Linked DNA regions of Struthio camelus. The protein of the gene in region 1 purifies or fractionates together with the protein of each later gene. This does not show direct contact. Links are inferred from orthologs where the notes say so. Each region holds a gene or a part of one and is shown on either strand. Other genes may lie near its edges.

Region 1 (9,105 bases):
AATTATACAGTCACTGCAAATTATGCTTGTTTGATTTTAAGTCCTCACTTACGTAGCATAAAACGAAAGACACTCACACAGAAACATGAATATAGATGCTTAACCCTCAGCACTCTTACTGTTGCAAGCTATCATATCTGATAAACTCATTCATATTTTTTAATCCATCTATACTTTACAAGAAGTTAGGCTGCTGACCCTCACTCTTACTGGAAAGCTTCCCCAGAGCCATCTCTGAATGCTCTGAACATTTCCAAATGTAACCGCTTCATGGAAGTTATTCATAACCAACCGATACACCTTTGTTCCTATACCAAAACTGTCCTTCATCTCATGAAGTTTTAAGTAATATCCAACATAAGTATCCACTGCTTCATCCAGCTGTCTGAAACTTCTCCCTTTTGAGAAGCCACAGTTTTCTCAATGGGTTTTGTAGGCTAGTGACAGGAAGCCAGACTTTCCGGTAAAGATAATAATGAACACATGCTCTCCTGCTCTAAGTACCCCCAAACTGTCAAATTTTGACACAGTTTTTGCTTCTGTACCCCAGATTAAATCATTGGCATATAAATACAATTTTGTAAATGCCACTTTCAAAGAAAATTTTGCTACTAGCAGTACAAAGCTCAAATGCAAGAAGAATTTTTTTTACTAGGCCTATCTTAGGATGGTTTTTAGCATATGATTTTTTAAAGCAAGAGGTAGAGTTCTATTTCTAAAGAATTCAATTCCACTTCTGTCATTTCAATGAATCTGAAAACAGTTTTCTAAACACTACAATTAGTACTAGTTCAGATTTAGAAATTCTAAGATTTACATCAGCATTTTCTAATGTGGATACCTAAAAGCAGATTACTAAATTCAGATTCAGGCACCTCCTTAGGTGCTGAGATTTTTAGATGCACTGTCATCTTCACTGGTTTCACAGTCATGAGCAATGCCTTGGCAAGAAACCAAGTCCTCTCCAATGAACTGCTGTAAAAGTGATTACTACAGTACTATCAGGAACTGCCTCAGACTTGAGGTTTGCATGCTTCACAGTCTTAATTACTGGACATTTCAAAATTATTTCCTCATTTCATGTTCACAGCTCTCAAATGTGGAATACTTATTGGCTGCTGTGAAGACCGTCTGCTCCTCTAGCTGTTCTTCATTCACACAGGAATCATCATCCATTACCTCTTTCTGCAGCTGCATGGTATTCTTAAGCAACTATGAAAACAGCATCATCTTCATGCCATAATTTCTACAGCTGTCCAAGGGATTTTAACTAGGAGTAGCTGAAACTAACAAAATATTGGTCTTAATTTACTAGGTTACATTCTGGGATTGTGACCAACACTTAGACTCACACTGCTTTACACCTTTATATATAGCAATAATGCGTCCTCTGTGCAACTACACAAATTAGGTACTTTATTACAAACAGAAAAAATTTTGCTCATGCTGAATATAAAAATCTATATAATACTTTTATACTCAGTCAGAGACTTAGATTGCTGATAAATTTATTTTTCAAATGCTGACTAACCTTTAAAGTGATAATGTCTGAATCATTTGCAGTATTCAAAATTGTACAAGGGATGCATGTTCTTAATACATTCTTATTGGAAATCTGTATTTGCCATGCTGCTTAATAGTAGGTGACGATCATTTGACTCATGAATATCAAATAGTACCGCTAGTCCAGGAAAAAGTACAATATAGACTCTACAGCATATGCCAAAAAGGAGGACCTTATTAAAAATAAAATTAAAAAAAATTCTCTGAACCACTGTAACATCATCTCTGAACTCTTTCACGCTTAACTGACATTTGAAATCTTTTTCTCTCAATTCACCATGTGATTGGTGAATTGGTCCTATATGTTCATCCTTTCATTAGCACTGTCATCCATACTATTGCTGAAAGGGTAACAACAGATACTACTTCAGTGTCATTACAATTTGTCATCACTAGGGCTCTGTGCAAGTCAAGCTCAAAACCAAATAAGTTATAATTAGCAAGCATTCTAATCTTTGTTAAAATTTCCTTTAATTACTGTAGTATGCATGATTACACAGTGACTTCCATAAGTATATACTTTTCTCTCATTAAAGTATATTCTATTCTTAAAAAAAAACCTAGTGCATACAAAGTATTCCATACCTAAATTGTCAATACATACTACCTTATTAATAGTCAGATTTGCCAAGCTGTTATTTATTCTAGGGGGTGGGAAAGGGGACTAATAATCAAAAAACCCCTTCTCTCTGCATTTTTTCAAGATTACTCCTACCTGCTTCTGCACTTAAGTGAACCTTCGAGTTAGATACTACATCTATGATAGATCCAACAAACTTAGATCAGAAGATGTCCCAGCATCTGAGTTTAAACACATGAATAACAACTGCTTCACTAGCATTGGAGATACTGGGCATCCAGGTTCTGCTCCAGGCCTCCGGAAGAAAAGATCAACGTGCACTTCCCTGCAAACCTGAGAAACCCACAGATGTCAAAGACCCTCTCGGGGCTGAGGACCCTGCCCATCACTCAGCCCAGCCGTTCGGGGCGGGGAAGCTTTCGAGTGGTGCGCCTCCACCTCCTCAGCCAGACCAAGCAAGTTTCTCCTCCGCTTAAATTCCTGAGAAGGGGGACGACCGAAACCCGAGCAGCAGATCTAAACCATCTGTTCCCGCTTCGCGCTGCCTCCAGGAGCTGACACGCAGCGCATAGGGAAGGCCGAACGCGCGCGGGGCCGGCGAAGCCCCCCGGCCCGGCCCGGCCCCCCACCCCTCCTCCTCCTCCTCCTCCTGCCGGGCGGCCGCCCCTCGGAGGCCCGGCCGAGCAGCCACGGCCCGCAGCATCCCGCGGGCAGGGCCGGCGAGCGCGGGCGTTGGACAGGGGCTGGGGAGGCTCCACCGCTTGGCGGGGGCAAAGCGAAGGCGGAGAGCAGGGCGCAGCGCGGCCGTGCTCCTCCTCGCCTCCCCCAGCGGGCTCGCCCCCGCCCCGGCGGGCAGGGGCGGCATCGGCCCCCTCCCCCCCCCCACGGCGGCGGCCCTACGGCGGCGGCTCCTCGGCCCGCCGCCGCCCTTCCCCGCAGCGCTGCCCTACTTCGCGGCGGTTACACCCTCTCCCCACTTCCCTCCGTGCCGGCTCGGCCCGGGAAGCTCCCCTCCGAGGCGACGGCCCCGTTTCCCGTCCGCTCCGCGCAGCTCACCTCTCTTGGAGCCGGGGCTGGGGTTGCCGCCGGCACCTTTGGAGCCCTTGCGCGAGGCCATGGCACCTCCTGTCAGGTAGCGAGAGGCAGCGGTTGTGCGCGCGCGCGCGCGGCGGGCGTGGGGGTGGGGCGAGCGGGGCGACGGCGAGGATGAGTCAGTAACCGCCGCCGCCGCTACCTGGGCGCTGCGTGCGGTAGAGTCCTGCGGCCGCAACCAGCGCCCGCCGCTCCCCGTCCTCCCGCCCCCCCCGCCGACGCCACCCAATCGCTGAGCGCTCCTGGGGAAGGAGGCGGGGCACTGCTCACCTCCCATTGGCGGCGGGGGCGGGTGGGGGGCGGTGCTCGGCGGCGGGGGCGCGTGTCCGCCACGCTCCCCTCGCCGGCGGCTTTGAACGTGGCAACATGGAAGCGAGCGGGGGCGTCTCGCGAGCGTTCGGCCGCGGGGCCGCGCCGGCGCGCGCTCCGCCGGGGGGAGGGGACGAGCTGCGGTGCCCGGCTGCCCTTGTCGGCCGGGGTGGGGGTGTTCCCCCCTCTCGCTCTGCGGGGGGGCTCAAACCGGCGGGCGGGCGGCGCAGGCAGAGCGCGGCGGCGACGGCTCGTGGCCGTTAGTCCTCGTGCGTGTGGGCGCGCGGGCGGCGGTTACAGGCGCGGCGCCGCGGCCTCGGCCTCGGCGCGGCCTGCGGCTCTGCGGGGGAAGTGGAGGAGCGCGGGTGCCGCGGGGGAGGCTTTCTCGCCGCTCGAGTACGTGGTATGTGGGAGCCTGCGAGGCGGTGGCCGCGGGGCTCCCCCTGCGCGGGGCGGCTTTGCGGCGCCGGGAATGGCGGCTTGCGAAAAAAACAAAGCGGGCTAAATGGGGGTCTAATGCTTAAGCACTTGAGACGCTGCTTAAAACGTCTTGTTCTGTTTCTCTGGCTGCCTTCCGCTTTGTTCAGGTGTTCGTAGCTCACCCGTGCGCAGTTTATGGGAAGCAGCTCGTTCACTCTTTCAGATAGCACTTTTTCAACCCATGGGGTGAAACAGTTTAAAGGATGTTGCATTAACAGATAAATTCTCAGAAAAAGCTTGTCAAGTCTGAAAAATATTTCAAGCAGCCTGTGACAAAATCAGTGGATTTTTTCTTAGTTTGTTTTTAACAGAAATTCTGAATGCTTCTTGTTCCTCAGTGACCTGGGATGAAACTTAATTAGAAAGTAGTGTGGCATAACAGCAAATTCCTTCTTGAACGACAGCAACAACTGAAAAGCTCCCTTTTGAGTCCTGGCCATAACTATAGTTTTTCAGATAAAAATAAGCAATGTTGAAAATTAGAGCTTTTGAAAATAACTGTTGCAGGAGAATGCTTTCCTCAAAACTAAATCTGACGGTTGGTTTTGAACTGAGTAACACAATGGATCTAACTGAAAATAATCATTTGCTGAAGAGCATTAGGCAGTAATTTTTAAGGAGATTTGAACCTAAATAACTAACAGGATGGCAGTGCTGGTACTCTAACTAGAAAAGATGAAAGCAACTAGTTCTATGAACATCAAAACTAACAAAGCTTACTTCTTGGTATCTATTTCTCATGTGAATAAACTGATATCTAATACAGCTGAGTAGCCGAACTTTTCATTTGCTTATAGTACTCTACCAAAACCTTATTTTCATGCTATGTTTCAGGGCTTGATATAGATCTATGAGTCCTTTCCTATAGCAAGGCAAAAAACTGGCCAACAAATTCCAGAGTTCTTAGGGAGAAGCAGACATGCTTATAAACGCACAAAGTTTGTCACAGGAATGCTGATAGGATGAATTATTAGCATTTGAGCAGATTGGGGAGGTGCAATTTAAGAAATACAATGTTTTAAGAATGCAATTCAAAGTAGTCTGTAATTCAGATAATTCATAGCTGGGTTTGTTGAAAATACATAATTAATAGGAAATAAGTGCTTATATGGCCATATTCGTGCGTGTAGTTCATACAAGGAAGATGACAGTGTTCTGACATTAATGAGAGATACAGTTTCCTGAAGCTATACTATGAGAAGGAGCAATTTAGTAAGAAAAGAGACATTAAGAGCATTTAAGCAACTGGGTGAAGAGTGACACTTAGAAAAAGAAGGCTGTTGTTGTTGATTTACTGTGAACTGTGAACCAAACTTACGGCTGTAAACAGACTGTAAAATTACTAGTCGTGTTTTCACTGGCATTCAACTGCCAGCATTGTGTATTTAGTGTATTCTATGCCTTCTAGTACAGTCTTCCATCAAATAGATGCTCTTGCAAGAGTAGAGCATGCACACAGGTAAAAGTGCTTATAACAATATTGAATGTTTATGTTCATTACTACCTTTCTGCATGATGGCAGTGATTATAATGAAATCTTGTGATTCAGTCTCCTGTAGACAGGAATTAGGATGTCTTTTTTTCCTCCCGGTGCACAGATAACTCCAGACAACTGGAGAAGAATACTAGTTATGATGAGCCACTGTCTTGTGGTAGTTAGAGAATCTTTTTGCCTCATAACTCTGCTCATGTACTCAAAATGTGATCATCAGATATGATTTTGGAATAAACAGCCTTTCAGATCAAGATAGCAGAAAGTATTAGGTCTGGTTTATCTACTGGGGTTATCTGAAGACAATTCAAGTACAGGCTATGTGACCCGTTTCGTGCCACTGAAGGAGCGTGGGACAGCAGTTTGTGGATGCTTAGTTCTTTTAAATTTGCTGGGCTACTGTTGGGAGAACTAGAAGCAACTTAATAGTATAACTTGTAGCAAATGATATGATGATCTCTTCTGATCTGAAATCTAATGAAAATTAAAGCAAATGTAAAAGTATCATTTTGGAAAAGAATGGAGACAAAAGAGAATAGCATGTGGGTAGGTGGATATGTATGGGAAAGCTTGTTTCTTTTCTTAATCAGCTGAATTCTTTTACTACTAAATATTTACTACATTGTAACCATGTGCAATAAACCACAAGAAGATAAATATCATTATGTTTGTTTATTGGAGGGAAAGGAACAAGGCAAAAAAAAGAATGTAACAATGAGGAACAAGCAAAGTTTAGAGAGCAGAGGTAAAGCAGACAGCAAAAGAAAAAAACAGAAAAACTAAAAAAAAAACAAAAAAAGTTACATAATAATGGCAAGGAGCAGGAGAAGAGAGCCCACTGCAGTCAGCTGGAGCCTTTCCACTTCGATCAGGCTCATTTAAAACAAAAGATTAAAAACTCCTCCCTGTTGGCCAGAACTCCATTTGCCCCTACACCAGAATATCCTAATTGCTAGTTGAGACTACAGATAACTTTAATGGAAATCATGCTGCATTACATAAATCATATGTTAGAAGACTGTCACCAATTAATGAGACTTGCTTGGAAAATGGATGCTTTGTTTTTACTGCGCAATATTTTTTCCATAAATACTTCTGCATTACTGCAGTTGCAGCTGTTTGGCTGGCCTGATTCATTCAATAGCACAGTGACTCTGCTGTCTGACAGGAAGAATCACATCCAAGGTGATAAGCAGAAGCAGCATTGAAATAACTACACAGGAAGAAGATTCTGTCTGTATTCTCTTTATTTCTAAACCAAGCACAAATATACAACCTGCCTGTAGCAGGGTGAACAGAGGCTGAATAAGAGAGGGAATGTTAATGTGGCGGGGGAGGGGGAAGTCACCTATTTAAAGCAACTATGAATTTAGCCCTGTTTTCTACTTCTTATAGGATAGTTGAATAAACTATTTTAAATGTGTTTGCCTATGCTATATGCAGTGCTATGACTTTATGTTATGTGTTCTATTGATGGATTTACTTCCATTCATGACTTTTATCTGAATTTGTCATAAAGCCATCTGTTCTATTTCCACTAGGCTGTAATATGTCTTCTGTGAGGGAGGTATAAGCAAGTCTAATTGAAAGCTTAGGAGCTAGTCCTTATTCTGTTGGTGTTCCTGAGCTATTTTATTCGGCTGTTGATCATTCTAACTGAATTACAGTTGTCTAGTAGATTATGCACATTTCTCATGAATAAATAAATTTCAATTGATCATCAAGGAAAAGTCAGTCCTCAAATAGAAGGGAAAGGTAGTTTTATGACTTAATGCATTGCAATGAAAAGAGATTGGGAATCTCCAGGATATGTTACAATTTAATGTGTTAAAAATTGTCTAATAGTCTAAGATTTTCAATAGAGAGCTTTAACATGTATAATTTTAAGGTTTTTGTGTGCCCAGATGATACTTCTTCCAGGATGTTTAGTCAGGAGGTGAGTAAACTGAGCACCTTGTTAACCAACTTAAAAATGTGTTGTCACCAGCAACCTTTGCGTTAAAAAACCGTCTTCGGGTTGGAATTTAAGGCACAGAGAGTTGTGCAGATTTCGATGTTCTCTGGATGGCCAAGTTGAGGCTTGAACAGCTTCCTGGTTTCTAATGGCAGACTACTGAGAATGAACATCCAGACATCTACAGAATTCACTAACTGCTTACAGAAAACCAGAGTTAGATATTTTGGGAAGACAGGGGAAGAGCAAGAAGGTAAAGAGTACCTCAGTTCCCCAAACCTAAATAACTGTATTAAAGTTAATGCTATTAAGTGATTCCATTTAAAACCAGTTTTATTTGATGATGCTAGCTGGTAGAAAATGGATACAAAAGCTGGCAGGCAAAGGAAGATACATTTGAAGTTGGTTACTCTCAAGGAACAAGTCTCTTTCACTTTTCTGGATTTTTTGTTTGTTTAGCAGTATTTCCATAACAATAAGCACTTGTTCTTAGATTTGTATGCTGGTGTATAATCTTAGAACTTTTTCTGAATAGTTGATGATAGTATCAAATAGAAAGTGGACCTCTGTTGGAGAGGAGTTGAGAAAGATGTACTTATCTGGAATGTAAGAGAAAAAAAAAAACTTGAGCCAGGTGAAGCAATTCTCGTGCAAGCAAAGGTAAAGTTGAAGGAAGTTTGATTTGAAATTGGTAAGGTAAAACATAGGCTATCTCTTATAAAGTCTAGATCTAAAGCCTATTCTTGCACTCAGCTGATTTATCTTGACCTCTCAGATGAGTAAATTAATTCGACTTTGAGCTTTGGGCCAGTAGGAAGGCCTAGGAGTTTAGAATTTGTTATGGCATTGCTGGACTTCTGAGTGTCTTACTGCACACTTTGCCAGGCATGATTCAGTTCAGCTAAACTGACCCCTGTGAGCATAATTACAGCTGAGAATGTAGCAAACTTCTCAGAACAAGGTTTTGCATCTGGTGATTGGATTTTGCATAAAGTGTGACGATTATTTGGGACTTAAGTGAGGCCTTCTTATCACTTCATATCACTATGCAGCAGCACAGGAATGTGTGGATTTCTCTCCTATAGCACAAGAGACTCAAACGATCAGGCGAAAGGTTCTTTGTACACGTACAACAGTTACTTAGAATGTATATTCTTGCAAGGACAATTAGAAGCTAGCCTTGAAAGATCTTTAAACTAGAAGTAGTACCTTTCAGGTGGTTTGTGCTCAACTGATGGAGCTAAAATAGTGCAAAATACAGTTTGGCTATAGATTAAGACAAACCAGGTTCAGTATTTCAACAGTCCTGGAAGAAATCCTCTTTAGAACGGCACTAAGGGAACGAGGCTTGGTTCTTGCTAGGAATAATAATGAAATCAGCAAGAAAAACAAGCAGAGGAAGGTACTTTACTACCCGTGTACTGCCTACTCTTGTTCTGAGGCTTAACGTTTTTAGTAATATGGGGAAAAGCATCAAAATCATCTCTAGCCTATAACTGCATTTGTTAAAATTGCTGCCCAGACTGCAGCAAAAGTAGTTGTGTTAAGTGGGTTATCTGAACTGAAAGAATTGCTGATCAGAAGCTTTGAGACCTCTAGAATATTTCCTCCCTGTCTGCCCCTGCAAAAAAAAAA
Region 2 (9,063 bases), on another chromosome or scaffold:
ACTTTTTCATTTTTTTTCCACTAAGCCCCTTTCCCTTCTGTACTCCTCCTGCCAAAAGGATGAATTGCTTGCTGCTAAGAGCAGAATTTAAGAAACATTTTTGTTACTAGAAAGAGCAAGAGTTTAGCGTGCCCTGCCCCCACATTTGATTTTTTTAATGCAAATACTTTGTGTTCCTGCTCCTCAGTTTTTTACAGTTCTGGGCTGCAGTCCAAACTACAATGAATTTACCGCCTTGCCTCTTGATACAGTTTCATAAGAACAGATTTTGGGCCTGCAGTCTTGGCTCCACATGGGCACCAACCACTTCACTCCTCATCTCAACCCCAGCTGAAAACAAGCACCTAGATGCTGCATGTGAAAAGCAAGATTTGCTCCTTACAGCTCTTGGCAGAGTTACTCCCTGGAAACCAAACCTCCCTGGACAGAGTTATCTGGAATGCCAGTTAATCCTCCAAAGCCTCTCCCATCCCAACTCAGGCATTTTTCTGCTACTGTCCTTTCCCACCACCTTCTCCCAGGAGGCCATGTTGAACAAAGGCAAGGCAAAGAACTGGCTGGATCCCCCAAACCCCAGCGCTCTGCAGCTCCTCAGTGGCTGAGACCTGCTCCCACCCCAGTGCCCCACGTCACCCAACCACCAGCTGCACCCCAGGGAGCCTCTGCATGGCCACAACGGCAGTGACAATGCTAGGAGAAGGCCATAAGTCGGAGCGGCAAAGGGGGATGGAAAAGCTATTTGATATGCGATTTCACATGACTGCCGTTGAGATTAAGCTGTCACACGAGGAAAGTTCAGCCCAGGACACATGTCCATGTCCTCTTTGCATGCTGCACAGGAACTGTCCCTGACCCTGGTCCCTGCCCCACCAGGCCTGGGGGTCAGACCAAGGGATGCAGCCTGTCTCTTGCCACTTTGGAAGGATCTTATGGGAGCCAAGAGGCAGCAAAGCATGCAAAGAGTGAAACCTCTAGCACCCCTGAGCTGTTTTTGGCCTGTTTGCACGTGGCACTCACCTGGCTGGGTACCCACATCACTCTGAACCTGCCCTATAGACCCCCAGGCCCTATAGCTCCCCACCCCCAGTCACCCACAGCCTTCTGTCTCCTGTCCCCACAGCCCCCCCATCCCATCACACATGGTTTCTCTGTCATTCCCCATAGTCCCCCATCCCTTGTCCCCAGAGCCCCCCATCCCCTGTCCCCACAGACTCTGTCCCCTATAGCCCATCCCACCACGCACAGCCTCCACTCCCCATAGCCCCCCATCCCTGGTTACCCACAGCCTCCCATCCCACCACACACAGCCTCCACTCCCCATAGCCCCCCGTCCCACCACACACAGCCTTCACTCCCCATAGCCCCCCATCCCACCACACACAGCCTTCACTCCCCATAGCCCCCCATCCCACCACACACAGCCTCCACTCCCCATAGCCCCCCATCCCACCACACACAGCCTCCACTCCCCATAGCCCCCCATCCCTGGTTACCCACAGCCTCCCGTCCCACCACACACAGCCTCCACTCCCCATAGCCCCCCATCCCACCACACACAGCCTTCACTCCCCATAGCCCCCCATCCCACCACACACAGCCTTCACTCCCCATAGCCCCCCATCCCACCACAGCCTCCACTCCCCATAGCCCCCCGTCCCACCACACACAGCCTCCACTCCCCATAGCCCCCCATCCCACCACACACAGCCTCCACTCCCCATAGCCCCCCATCCCACCACACACAGCCTCCACTCCCCATAGCCCTCCATCCCCGGTTACCCACAGCCTCTGCCCCCATAGCTCCCCGTCCCATCGCCGCCAGCCCCCCGTCCCACCACGCACAGCCTCCACTCCCCACAGCCCCCTCCCCCTGTCCCCAGAGTCCCCCTTCCCTCGCTCCCCGCAGCCGCCGCCTCGCCCAGCGCCCAGCGCCCCGGCCCTACCTGCCGGGCCGGGCGCCCCGCGGCCCGCGCAGCAGGGGCAGCCGGCGGCGGGGCAGCGCAGCGAGGCGGGCCGCGGCGGCCATGCGGGCGGCGGCGGCGGCGGCGGCGGCGACAGCGGGCCCGGCCGGCTCCCCGCGCCGCCCTATACGGCGCAGCGGCGGCGGGCGGCGGGGGCGGTGCGCGCCGCGGCCCGCCTCGGCCCGCGCTCGCCCCCGGGCGGCAGGGGGCGCGGGGCTCCTGCGAGCCCGGCCCCGCGCCCCGCCGGCCGTCCCTGCCGCTAACTCCTTTTATTTTTCCGGGCTGCCCCAGCAGCCTTTTTCTGCCTAGCCCCAGATGCTGCACCCCAGCCAGGGCCTTTCCGTGTGGCCCGAATGAACCCTGTGAGCCTGGCTGACGCGGACCTCGGCGTGAGGAATGAAACGGGCTCGCTGTCCAGGCGGCCAGCACCCGTCCCCTCTGCTTTCCTTCATCTTCATCGCCTGATGCCTGAGCCCCTGGGAGTCCTGAGCCCCATCCACTTCACCAGCGCGGGTACCACCTAACAGCCTCAAACTCTGCCTTCTCCCAGCGGGCTGCTCTGGTGAGAGGAGAGGCCAGCTGGGACCTGCACACCTTCTCCCCAGTGGGGCAGGCTGAGCTGCCCTCACCCGCGGGAAGGGCAGGAGCAGGCGCCCGGCCGAGGAGCGCTGCGGCGCTCAGCTCCCTCGAGCACCCAGGCGCAGGAGCAGCGCTGCCTCCGATGCAGCAGCGCTGACACTGAGGGACAACGGGTGACGCACGCGTTGTTCTGAGTGTGAAATGACAGGCACCCTTTCCCAGCATTGCCTGCAACCATGGCAAAAAGCTAATTAATTCCCATGAAAGGGCCGGGGGATAAAGTGGATCTCAGAAAACAGTGTACACCTTTTAAATACCATAGAAGCATTCACTAAGGAGTTTTAGCAGCTGGGCGCTAGCCTGAATGCGGGCTCTGTTTCTGGCTCCTTTACTGACCTTGCAATGTGATCTTTGGCTAGTTATTTTGCAGCTCTTTGCTCTTTTTAATTCGGTCTGCCTAGGTGGAAGCTAGAATTCAGCAGAGAGACACTTTACAGTGTGTCTATCCCATGACTATTACAATGGAGCTTATGAACAAGGATATCAATTTTGGCCTCAGAATTGGTGTATCCCTGACATCAAAGCCAAAAATACGCTTATAAATAACAGCCACACAGTAAAATGCTGACTGCATAACCGAACCTCACGGTTCAGATAGTTGGTTTTAGAATCGGGAGGGATTTTCCCCTGACACATATCTTGTTCACAAGGCAAGATGAGTTTGTTTGGTGGCAGCCGTGATAGCGTTCTATTTGGTTGGGGGAAGGGAGATTTTTGACTTTGAAGAGTGAAAAATTGGCCATGGCTGCACATGGGACACTGGGCAAGGCAGGTCAGCGCTGTGAAGAGAGTCTGGGAATCTTCTCAGGCACTCAGGGCCAAAAATTAGATTGACAGTGTTCATCCAGCTTCATTCAGCAATTCCTCTCCCTACTTCTCCCTCCATCCTTCCTCCTGCAAAGTGAACAAATATGCCCTGATTTCTCTGTCTCATGTAGGTTCTAAGACTTTTTAGACATGCCCAGGTAAATATATTGACATGTGCCAGTCCCACTAAAATCAACAGATAGGAGAGTTTATGGATTTGTGTAAATGATGTAAGGCCATCTGACGTTCATGGCCAAAAGTCATCCCTTCACTATTTCGGCGAAGCACAGTGCAATTACATTTATTTGTATTGCAACAGCATCAAAGTGTGCTCGGTGTTGTATAACCACAGACGAGAAGAAAAAAAAAAAAAAGTGATCCAAAACCCCCACCTTTAATAAACAAAAATAAAGCTGAGTTTCAGTTTGATCTTCCCACATTTAGAGGATTAGCCTATGGGGTGAATCCCAGATACATATTAAACCAAGAATTATGCAGAAGTTACAAGGGTCTAGATTTCAGACGTTCCCAGTCATCTGCAGCATTCCACATACAAAGGCCTTCTCTATACAGGTACAAGATCTGCCTCAGGTCTCCTCAAAACGCCTGCGAGTTTTGCCCTCAGGAGCAGGACTGTGTATGCCCCTGCTAAGACGGCCATGGTGCCTATCAGGTTGAGGAGGAGGCAGGGGACATGTGAGTCCCACATTGACTAACATGGGAGTGAGGCAATTGACTGCCTCACTTGGGTGCCCATGGTGGGAGATCTGGAAATGCGAGATTTCCCCACCGGTCCCTGGCTCAAGTCTTCCTCTGGCCTTTCAAACCTTGTTTTGAAAAGCTGAGGGAAGAGAGAGATTCTTGCATAACTAGACCTCGCTTTTCTCAAGTGTGAGTTCTGCAATTTCAGTCACCGGTGGGAGGCACAATAACCTGCTCCTAGCAACTTCTCTAATCTCCTGAATGAGAGTGCATTGATCTTAGGCAGCCTTTATTAGACTCTGTGGCAGATCCTTGTTTGCTATTTTGTGGTGCCTTTGCTCAGAGACTCCAGAGATCTTGATTATCTCAGCATTGTTAAGACACCTAGCGACAGCTTAAAAACCCTACTCAAAAGTATCCATGGGGTAGATGTGCTGAACTAGTTAGAAACATCTTTGCAAGGTCCAGTGCATCACATTTTGCATAGGGGTCAAAAAATTCAAGGTTAGCATTCACTGCAATCCCATTACTGGGTAATATTAATTTGGCTCTCCCTCAGCCTGCTTTTCTCTTTCACTGACTTTCTCAACAGTGGGTCAGTCAAGGTGAAAGAACACTTTGATTGTGCTGTATCCGAGCTTCCAGATCAAAGCAGGAACATTACTGCAAATTCCTCCTGGTAAAGAGAGACATCTTGGTATAAGCCAACAAAAAGCCAGTCCAGCACTCAGTAATTATGGAGGCTATGAAGAGCAGGAAGCAACAATGTCTAGTATTTGTAAAGAAAGCATGCATGAATTGGGTTTTGTGTTCATATTGGGATTACTGCTCGTTAAAGGCTTAGTTTTTCATGGGACATAGTGTGAACGGTGAAATGACAAGGTGTAAATCTGACCAGCCTGTGGGGTAGCAGTGAGACATCTTATTTATTCTCTGCATATGAATCACAGAACGGCCGAGGTCGGAAGGGACCTCTGGAGATCATCTAGTCCAGCCCCCCTGCTCAAGCAGCGTCACCTAGAGCACGCTGCTCAGTTTCAAACGTTTCAAAGAGAAGGCCACTGGTCAGACGATGACCTTGCAATCACCGAGCGAGTAGGGCAGGAACCAGGAGAGGTGCAGCGGCTGCCTGCGTCGGGAGGAGCGATGGGCCGGGGCCGCCGAGCCCGGCGGCGGGCCGCTCCGGGCCGGCAGGGGGCGCGCTGCGCGGCGAGGCGCGGCGCGGCGCGGCGCCCCTCTGGGCGCGGGGCGGCTCGTCGGCGCTGGCGGGCCGAGCGCGGACGTGGACGCGGAAGTGGCTGGCGGGGAGCGGCGGCGGGGCCGCGCCGCGCTGCCCTCCTCCGCCCGCGGCAGCCGCCTGCCCGGCCCCCGGTGCCGCGGAGGGCGGGGGGGCGCCATGGCGCGCGGCGGCGGCGGCGGCGCCGCCAAGGGGGTGAACCTGAAGGACAAGCTGGACGGCAACGAGCTGGACCTGAGCCTGTGCGACCTGAGCGAGGTGCCGGTCCGCGAGCTGGTGAGCATCCGCCCGCGGCCGCGGCCGCCGCTCCGCGCCTCAAGAGGCGCCGCTAGCGTCTCCCGCTGCAGCGAACGAGCTGCGCACCGCAGCGGCAGTTGTTCGTCACCTGGCCTGCAGGCATTTAAAATACCCGAGACGAGGGTGTTCGGGCTCTGCGAGCTAGATGCGTAGCCTCAGCGTCTGCTCCATTTCCGAAGCAGTATCTTTTAAAACCAGAATTGTGAACCAGGGCTTAATTAAGATGAAACGTCATCTCGGTGGCAACTGCTGAGGAGTTCGCAAACTGGCGTGGAAGAAAACAAAACAAAACCAGCATGCTAGAACGTCACTGTTGTGTATACATACATACACATATATACATATATATATAGCTTGATCTAATTCTTTGTTTCTCTTTCAGGCTGCCCTTCCGAAAGCTACTATATTGGATTTGTCCTGTAATAACCTAATTTCTCTGCCGGTAAGATGCTAGGGAGCCTTTGTGGAGATGAGGCAAATCTGTTAGGAAATAATATTTAAAAAAAAAACAAAGTCCTTCAATAGAGATTCAGTAGGAGGTTTAGAACTAGCACTTCTCTCATTCCTGGGTTGGCTGAATGACAAAACCATCAATTAAGGGTTAGTATTAATGGTAGTTTTTACTGAGGCAGGCATAATGCAATAAGAGAGAAAAAGCTGAAGATCCTTTTCCCTGCCAAAGGATCCCTGCAACTTTACAAACCACTTTCATCAGCAATAGAGGCTCAGTTTTGTTTCAGATATATTGCGGCATATCACCTTGTCTAGGAAACAGGGGTGTCCCACTGTTTTCTACCTCTGTCTTCCAAGGCAGAGGAAGAGGGTGATTTTCCTCCATCACACAGTTTTGTGTTAAGGATTATGGCTTTATCACATAAGGTGAAGGATATTTCGACACACTCTCAGCTGGGGTTCCTTTGTAAAGGTGATGCCAAGCTGCTTCTACTTTTGTGTGTGTGTGTGTGTCTCGGTTTTAGTCGGACTTCTGTAGTTTGATGCATCTGGTGAAACTGGATTTGAGTAAAAATCGGCTTCAACAACTGCCCTTGGACTTTGGCCGCCTGGTCAATCTGCAGCACTTGGACCTTCTGAACAACCGTTTAGTCACCCTGCCAGTCAGCTTTGCACAGCTCAAGGTAAAACCCATTTGCTAGGCAGTTACGTAAAGCCTTGGGAGGCAGTCCAGGGTCTTGTGATTCTTCTCAAGTTGTTCTCTGGTAAAGCATCGGTCCTGCTGGCTACCCATTTCAAAATTAATCTGGGCTCTGCACTACAGCTCAGTGGAAATTACCTCACTTCTACTGAAGCAACTTCTGCCTGAGCTCTCTACTTGTCCTCTGTATGTGCTTCATTTACGTGAAAACTAAGTAGCTCTTTGCTACCGCTTTGTATCTCTTGAATAATCACAAGACTACTGTGCTCTGTGTGTGCGAGCACTCTTACAGCCTCCCGTTTATCGTTCCTTTCTGCAGAATCTGAAGTGGCTGGATCTGAAGGACAATCCCCTGGATCCTGTTCTAGCTAAAGTAGCAGGAGACTGTCTGGATGAAAAGCAATGTAAACAGGCTGCTGTCAAGGTAAGGAATCTGCTTCCTATTTTATTCTTTTTTCCCGTACTTGGATTTGCTGGTTGCTGTTTTTCCTCCGATTGCTTAGCATGCTGGGCTGCTGCTGCAGCAATTTGAAATTTCTTCAGTCAGTGAGGAGCTGGTTCATTGGTAAACATGCAGTGACTTCATTGCTTCTGCGCCTGTAGTGAGCAAAGACTGAGCTAAGCAGGATTCTTTTTCATTACTGGGGTTAAGAGTGTTGAATGCTGGTAGCTAGGAAAGCGGAGGTACATTTAAACAAAATAATCCATGTCCAGGCTTACACTCCAGAGTAAAAAATCTCTCGCAAAGTTCTGGCAAACTACAAGCTCACATAAATAGTTGCTGCAAGCTGTGGAGCAAGAATAGTTAGAGTCTGGGTCTGTGTTGCTGCCTTGTCATACTATTACTTGAAAGAATTCAGTCTCATAAAAGAACAAGTGTTCTGTGATCCTCTGTGCTAGCTAGCACCAGTTTGCCTTGTTTGTTTTCTAATTAAAATATCTTTCTCTTAACTGTAAAGAGTAATACAGGAAAGTCAAGAGAGTTCTCTTTGGAGCCAGACCTGTAAGGCTAAGTCAGCTGTGTGCAAATTTATCGGATTAGTAATCAGTCCCAGCTGACTGTCTTCTGCCAGTCTTCACCTGCGCTCTTAACTGTTCTGTTTTGAAATGACTATGCAAAGAACCTTCTGCATACGTCCCATATTGTTTTCTTGGACCTTGAAGGTACTGCAGCATATGAGAGCTATCCAGTCTGAGCAGGATCGAGAAAGGCAACGGAAGCTCCAGGCAGAGCGAGGTAGGCATAAAGAGCCCTCAAGCGCTCTCTGCTGAAGACTATTCCTGATCTCTCTTGATGACATACCCAACCATACTGATTGCCATCTAACAAATATCTGTAACTACCAGAGTTCTGAGGACCCAAGGAGTATTAGGGGAGGAGGGGGAAAGATAGCTTGGGATAACTCTGTGGTTTCTTGCCTGGAAAACAGTTAGATCCCTCAAGGAAACGTGCTGTAAGTCACCTATAAAAAGTATGAAGGAAAAACACAGGATTTATTTTAAGGGAAGTGTAAACTTGAGGGAGCAAGATGAAAGGCATATAATATTTTAGAACAATAATCCAGGGTACTTATTTGATTGTTTCCTTATTCCAATGGGGAACAGGTAAGCATGTAATAAGGAACAAGGCCATGACAACCCTTTATATAAAGGGAAAAAAACCCTTGTATTAATCCTCAGAAATGGAGAAGAAACGTGAAGCAGAACAGCGTGCAAAGGAGGCTCAAGAGAGGGAACTGCGGAAGCGAGAGAAGGCAGAGGAAAAGGAACGCAGAAGACGGGAGTATGATGCTCTGAGAGCTGCAAAACAGGAGATGGAAAAGCAAACTAAAAAAGAAACCGTTCAGACCCGAAGTAAGTTGCATCCACAGTGGGTATTCTGTAGAGACCATCATGTAATATTTTAATCTGTAACTTGAGCACAGCATAGGAAAAATAAGTGGAAGAGAAGGAACAAGACCACTGCCCTAGACACTGCATCAGCCTTCATCAAATTTTGATGGTGGGGGATGGTCAGAGTGGTAGGGAAACAGCACAGTAGTAGAGCTTATTAAAAATCTTACAGGTGGACAGCTGTAGGAGAGGAAGACAATATTTCAGCATCTTTGTTCCTGACAGATTGCTGAACTACAAGATTCAGAAAATTCTTCAGCTGCTCCTAAGCAGAACTTCCCTCCGTCCAATTCTTTTTGAATGTACTGAGATATATGCGCAAAAACAGATCTTGCCTAATAGAGATGCCTTACATCCTGTTCATTGCTGCCCGA

Evidence for each region.
Region 2: the proteins of ASPH (region 1) and LRRC59 purify together in Homo sapiens (co-immunoprecipitation; 3 studies listed by BioGRID and IntAct, with this or other methods). This does not show direct contact. The link is inferred for Struthio camelus from reciprocal best matches to the Homo sapiens genes ASPH and LRRC59.

Annotation. Positions count from the first base shown.
Region 1 is NC_090943.1:134,400,536-134,409,640, reverse strand, and holds the start of ASPH (aspartyl/asparaginyl beta-hydroxylase), read right to left. Parts: upstream 3,411-9,105; 5' UTR 3,261-3,410; coding exon 3,200-3,260; intron 1-3,199.
Region 2 is NC_090960.1:7,768,390-7,777,452, forward strand, and holds the start of LRRC59 (leucine-rich repeat-containing protein 59), read left to right. Parts: upstream 1-5,387; 5' UTR 5,388-5,505; coding exon 5,506-5,622; intron 5,623-6,025; coding exon 6,026-6,085; intron 6,086-6,239; exon of another isoform or gene 6,240-6,620; coding exon 6,621-6,779; exon of another isoform or gene 6,780-7,115; coding exon 7,116-7,220; exon of another isoform or gene 7,221-7,378; coding exon of another isoform or gene 7,379-7,393; intron 7,394-7,960; coding exon 7,961-8,033; intron 8,034-8,476; coding exon 8,477-8,650; intron 8,651-9,063. Other genes in the region: ACSF2 (medium-chain acyl-CoA ligase ACSF2, mitochondrial), read right to left, coding at 1,944-2,026.